Ovis aries: one gene and its partner. The protein of the gene in region 1 purifies or fractionates together with the protein of each later gene. This does not show direct contact. Links are inferred from orthologs where the notes say so. Each region holds a gene or a part of one and is shown on either strand. Other genes may lie near its edges. The genes, in order: KIFBP and KIF14.

The links.
Region 2: the proteins of KIFBP (region 1) and KIF14 purify together in Homo sapiens (affinity purification with mass spectrometry; 3 studies listed by BioGRID and IntAct, counting the BioPlex papers as one, with this or other methods). This does not show direct contact. The link is inferred for Ovis aries from reciprocal best matches to the Homo sapiens genes KIFBP and KIF14.

Annotation. Positions count from the first base shown.
Region 1 is NC_056078.1:24,533,305-24,537,126, forward strand, and holds part of KIFBP (KIF-binding protein), read left to right. Parts: intron 1-1,019; coding exon 1,020-1,135; intron 1,136-3,822. UniProt on the Homo sapiens protein: Activator of KIF1B plus-end-directed microtubule motor activity. Required for organization of axonal microtubules, and axonal outgrowth and maintenance during peripheral and central nervous system development.
Region 2 is NC_056065.1:78,650,715-78,653,306, reverse strand, and holds the end of KIF14 (kinesin-like protein KIF14), read left to right. Parts: intron 1-1; coding exon 2-393; 3' UTR 394-1,904; downstream 1,905-2,592. UniProt on the Homo sapiens protein: Microtubule motor protein that binds to microtubules with high affinity through each tubulin heterodimer and has an ATPase activity. Plays a role in many processes like cell division, cytokinesis and also in cell proliferation and apoptosis.

The DNA of each region.
Region 1 (3,822 bases):
ACTCCGTGCTCTCAAAGCAGGGGACCGACATTTGATCCCTTTTCAGGCAGTTAGATTCTATATGCCACAAGCTCTCATGTGTCACAACTAAGACCCAGTGCAGCTGAATACATAGCTAAATAAATACTTTTAAAATGTTGAACCTGAAGGTTTGTCTGAGTTGCTATAATCTCATGCTAAATTTTGACAGCTGAGGACTTGATTCTTAGGGATGAGCAAAGAAAGTGGTTTCTTGAGATGGTGTCTACTTCAGGTGAAGATACTGTGAAAATTGTTGAAATGACAACAAAGGAGTTAGAATATTACATAAACTTGATAAAGTAGTGGCAGGGTTTGAGAGGATTGACTGATTTTGAGAGAAGTTCTACTGTGGGTAAAATGCTATCAAACAGCATTGCATTCTACAGGAGACAGTGTTCCTGGAAGAAAGAGTCCATCAGTGCAGCAAACTTCTCTGTTGTCTCTTTTTAAGGAAGTGCTACATCCTCCCTACCCCAGCCTTCAGTAACCAGTACCCTGATCAGTCAGCTATCATCAATGAGGCAAGACCCTCTAACTAGCAAAAAAGATTATGACTCTCTGAAGCCTTAAATGATGTTTAGCATTTTTTTTAGCAATAAAGTATTTTTTAATTAAAATGTGTACATTTTAAGACAATGCTATTGCATACTTAATAGACTACACCATAGTGCAAACCTTAACTTTTATAAGCCACAGAAAACCAAAAATTCATGAGACTCATTTTATTGCAGTGATCTGGAACCAATCTTGCAATATCTGAGGTGCTTGTACTCAAAATTTAATGTATGTGGTAACCTTAGTTTCTACCTGTAGGTGATACAAAAGAAAAAAACTAGAAAGAACCTCTGGGTGGTAGGAATTTTGGGTGAGTTTCTTGCCGCTGCTTCAGGTAGGACTTGGTATTTTTATAATCAAGAGCGATATAAAGAAGAATGGTGTACACAGTGAAAATTACAGTTGTGACCATTGGCTCACACAAGTCACGTTGTACCTTTTAGCTACGGAAGCTGAAGGAGATGTGCCAGAGCTTTATCACCAGAGGAAAGGGGAAATAGCAAGATGCTGGATCAAGTACTGTTTGACTCTCATGCAGAATGCCCAGCTTTCCATGCAGGTAATACGGTCAAAAGTGATGTTTTCTGTCTTAAAACAGTAGGATGTAAGTAAAAGCTTGAAATGGGAAGTGTGCTCATTGGGCTCGCTGCATGTGTGTTATTCGTGGCGTGCGGAAAGCTTATTTCTTGCTTTCCCTGTCTCATCCTGTTCAAATCTTACTCTTCCATTAAGGCTGTCTCAAACAGCACCTCTTGCTTCAAGACTTGCCATTGGATAGAGCATAAGCCCCACCAGAGGGGAGTCTTCATCATATTCATACTATTTACCAATTTCTAGACGTAACAGGTGCTCAAAAACTATTGAATGTATATACAGTTCTTAAACCCTACGGATCTCTTCTCCCTCAAGAGCCCTCCCTAAGTCACTTGACTTTTTATTATTGTTACTCATATTCTTATCTTATTCCTTTACCTCTTCTTAGACTGTAAGCAACCTGATGGCAGGAAATCTTACTAATCTTTATATACTTTAGACAGTAAATATATATGCTGATAAAAGGATAAGTATGACTGTATCTGGAAACAGCCCTGCTAGTTGGTGGCTGTGTCTGTGTGGCAGTTAACTTCTTGTCTCAGTTTCCTCACAAGTAAGACGGAGATAATAATAGTACTTAATAGTGTTCCTGTGAGTTAAATATGTATAAAGGGCTCAGAAAGTGTCCAAGAGGTAACTAAGTCCTCAATCACTGTTAACTATCATTGTTGATACCATTATTATTAATCCATACTTAATGGATTCTAGTTCCTAATCAGAGCTCTGGTGGCTCAGATGGTAAAGAATCTGCTTGCAATGCAGGAGACCCAGATTCTATCCCTGGGTCAGGAAGATTCCCCTGGAGAAGGGACTGGCAACCTGTTCCAGTATTCTTGTCTAGAGAATTCCATGGGCAGAGAAGCCTGGAGGGCCACAGTCCCTGGGGTCACAAAGAGTCAGACACGGCTGAGAGACTAACGCTACAGAGAAAAACAAATCATTTGGATGCATATTCTCCAGGAGACTTTCCTGGAGGGGTTTCATGCCTCTTTTCTGTTTACATGCATTAAAGTTTAACCATTTTTTACTAGTAAATATAGAACCTTGTGAAACTACTATACAGAATAAAAGCAAACAAACCACAAAACCCCAGAAGCAGGAGTGTTTCAAAGGTGAGAGCACTTTGGAAGTCAAGGGTAAAGATGAGGCATATTTGGAAAAGGAAGGGTGTGGGGAGAAGAACTCGGGAGTCTTATGTCTAGAGAAATTGCAGCCTGGAAGATCTGTCAGCATTCTTCTGGTCAGAAAGCAGTCTAAAAATTGTGTAAATAAAGACGCCACCAGGAAGCACGGTAAGTAAACAAGATTAGAGGCGTAGGCCTGCATTTGAAGTGATTGTGTCAAGCAGAGTGCCCTGTGGCTTACTCTTGCCATTCCTTTAGTCTGTGCTTTCCAGACTGGGCACTGGAATTTACCACTTGCTTGTATGGCAGTCCACTCCAGTACTGTTGCCTGGAAAATCCCATGGACAGAGGAGCTTGGTAGGCTACAGTCCATGGCGTTGCAAAGAGTAGGACATGACTGAGCAACTTCACTTTACTTGTTTTAAACTCACATAGTGACCACACTGCTAACTTACTCAGATTTCCTTTAATCTGGCTGTTACCTTAGCTTCATCCTTTGATCATCTGCTTACCTGAAAAGCCTTCTTTAATTCAAGTTTAATAACATATACAAATTTAAGTATTTATTTCTGACAGGTTTATAGTAGTCATTGTACTATGATGAACAAAAATAGACCTAGTTTTTTATATCATATGGAAGTGCAACTTTAGTAAGTTCCACAAAGGAGAGACACAAGATATAAAAAGTCACAATGGGAGGAAGTAACATCTGAAGGAAGCTCTGGGAATGCGTAGGAATTTCTAGACTGGAGAAAAAGCACAGCATTCCGAGGAGCTGAAGCAGCATGTTGAAAAGTTCTGAGGTGTAGGGAGCATGGTGGTGGAAATGATGGAGCAAGGCCTGTGAGGCTGGAGCAGAGAGAGCATGTGTGATAGAAGACCGAGTTAGAGAAGGGCTGGAACATGCCGGGCCTTCCGTAACTGGAAGCCTTGGCGAGGGGTGGGAGGGTTTGGACTGATCACTCGGGTGGCAGAATGGAGGATTGAGGGAAGGCAAGCGTGGACGAGGAAGATTACTTAGGTCACTGGAACAGTAGGGGTGAGATGTGAAGGGAGCTTGGGCTAGGATGGTGGCAGAAGAGATGGTGGAAAAGAGTGGGTGCAAGAGGTTATTTAGGGGGCAAGACAGAAAGGATTTGATGATAGACACGAAGTGTGGGCTAAGAGAGGAGAGAGACATCAAGGATGATTCTCCCGCATCGGCTGGCTGTCCAGATCGAGGGAGTGACCTTCACTAAAATAAGAGTCGAATAGGAACCTGTTTGTGGAAGAGGGAGAGTTCCATTGTGGACATATTGAGGATGAGGGGTCCTAGTCTCCCCAGAGGAGCAGGAGGTATGTGAGGCGGTTTAGTTCTGGGTCTGGAGCCTAATAAGAGCCTGGTGTACCTGAAGATTTGTGGGTCCTCCTCCTGTGGATGACAGTTGCAACCATGGGCACAGATGGAGACAGCTGTGTAGAGCTGTGCTGAGCAATAGAAGTAGGAAACGAGCTACTTAGGTCACTTTAAGCTTTCTAGTGGCTACAC
Region 2 (2,592 bases), on another chromosome or scaffold:
GGGCACCGCGGGGACGTGGCCCTCCTCCAGGACTGTGTGCAGCGTCTCTGCAGCTCTGCCCGGGGTCTCCATGGCGACCGGGCTGGGTGCCCTGAGGACAGCAGAGCCCAAGCCAGCCGCCGGGAGCTGGAGTCCCGCGCCACCTCACTGCTCTTGGGCTTTGAATTTGAAGAAGGACTTGTTTTGTGGGGGCCCTGGGAAGCTTGCGATCAGGGTCCCAGAGCAGCAGAACAAGAGCAGCCCAGGTCGGACAGGCCCGGCCCCCAGAGGACCCGAGGAGTGCCCAAGCGGGTGTACGAGCTCCCGGGCCCGGCCCTGGGGGGCTCAGAGCAGGGTGTGCTGCCCACCCGGGAGAGCGCCGGGGAGGGATCTCCTCCCGCCCGAGAGCAGTAGGCCTGCTCCAGAGCCAGCCGTTCTGTGGGCAGCCTGCTGCTGGGTGTGGACGCTGGTTCCAGATGCCTGGATGTGCAGCCGCGATTCCCTGCAGACGGTGAAAGGCAGGTGCTGCCCGTGCCAGCTTCGTGGCAGTCGGCTGGAACTGGGATTCAAGACTGAGCGAGCGGTCCTTGTCGGCTGCCTGGAGGTGTTGACGGTCGCCTTTAAGGCGAGTGTGCGGCCTTGGGCTGGCTCACTAGCCTGTGTGTACTGGTCCTTATGGGGCTGTGGTGACTGATAAGTTACTTCCTCTAAGTGGACGCCTTCATGCCTGTATCTTCATTCCCTTGCAAATACAGTAGCTACGATGAGTTTTATGGGGAAGCTGCCAAAGTAAGTCTAACCAGGGCAGCTTAACCTGCCTTGTTAATCGACAGCCCTTTTCTTGGAAGATTAACTGGTTGCCATTCTGAATGGTGTGTTCAGGACAGTTTCCTGTTTCTTTGCAAATTATGAGTAGCTTCCTAATATAGTATAATTTATATTAATAACCTGGTTTGCTGCCATGCCAGCTCACTTCTATCTGCCAGGGGTTTCATGTTAGGGGCTGTGTGAATGTAACTTCAAACCGATTGAATATTAATTCAACTGTTGGATGGGGTTGGGGAATCAGAGGCCAGGTCTTCTCTTGATAACTCTAGTCTGATGAAGGCACATGGAGTTTGTACATGATTTGATGAAGATTTAAGACCTTTATTATATCTCTGAACTTAAAAAAACCTTTATCTACAATCAGATAATAGAGGTAATATTGCACTTTGGGGCTCATCCCTCAAGGAGATCATTTGACATTTCAGCTGCCGAAACGTGTGTAAATTGAAGAGATACCCAGTGACCTGGCGTGAGTGAGGTCGAGCAGGTCTTGGGCAAGAATTATTTTGAGTGCCCAGATTGCCCCTTGTCCCCCACACGTGCAGACATGCTGTGTGTGAGCCCGGCACGGCTGTGGGAGTCGGTGCCGGGGGCAGACTTATTCTCACGCGGTGACGGGTTCTTACTCATAATGCTAGTGAACCATGTGTTTTCAGGTGCTTTAAAACGGTGCAGTTTGAAAAACGTGCTCTTGTGTTTTCTTCTATTTCTGGCATCTGAGTTGCATTTGCTCTGAGGGCCCACACGCGTCTGTCATAGCAGTGCTCTGCCAAGGGGCTCTGTGCTGTCAGGTTTTAGGGAGAGCAGGAGTGCAGGCAGGGCCTCTCCTGAAGGCTGTTCCTCCTGGAGGAGCTTCCCACGGTAGTGGTGTGGTCGTTTTTAATCTTGATGCTCAGTGTTTAATCCTCACTTTCTGCTTTCTAAACTCAGGACTTCACTGGTCAGAAACCTTTTAGTGTCTTAAAATTTTGTATGTACATATATTTATACTCTGGATTGTTACACAGTATTTAAACCAACTTTGGTAAGTATATTTTCTGTTGGAATCATGTGCGCTGATGAGATGTGTTGTAATAAATGGATGCCTGTGAAAAGTCGCATCTGGGTCACCCGTCACTCCCAGGTCCCCGTCACTCCCGTGTCCACGGGCCCCTGCCCGCTCTGCCCCGCACCAGCCTCCAAGAGACTCTCCTTAATCTCTGAGCTCATCTCCTGGCTCCTCCACTCAAGAACCGCCTCCAGAATGACGCCCAGTCTCACGCGGCTCACTCCCGCCGCCAGCCTCGCGGGGCTCAGTGGGCGCTGGCCGCGCGGGCCCGTGCCCCCGGCCTCGGGTTGGTGACACGGGAACCTCCCTCCGCCGCCGCCGCTGTCGGGTCCTGCCCGGACCCCAGATCTGGAGGTCTCTCCGTCTTGTTCCCTGAGTGGTGGTGACAGGCGGGCCGGGCCCCGAGACGCCGGGAGACAGCGGCCGCGGGCCTTCGGGAGGGGACGGTGGGTCACTGCAGCGGTGCGGCGCAGTGGCCGGTGCCGGGCCGCAGGCCCCCCCACCCACAGGTTGAGACGGGCGAGGTCCGGCCTGGGAAGCGGCGGGAGGTTGGCCGGGTCTGGGCGGAGTGAAAGCCGCTGCAGGAACTGCACGTGCGCGCCTGCTGGAGGTGGGGCCTGGGGCGGGGCCAGGCGGGAAGGGCGGGGCCAGGCGGGAAGGGCGGGGCCAGGCGGGAAGGGCGGGGCCAGGCGGGAAGGGCGGGGCCAGGCGGGAAGGGCGGGGCCTGGGCCGGGGCA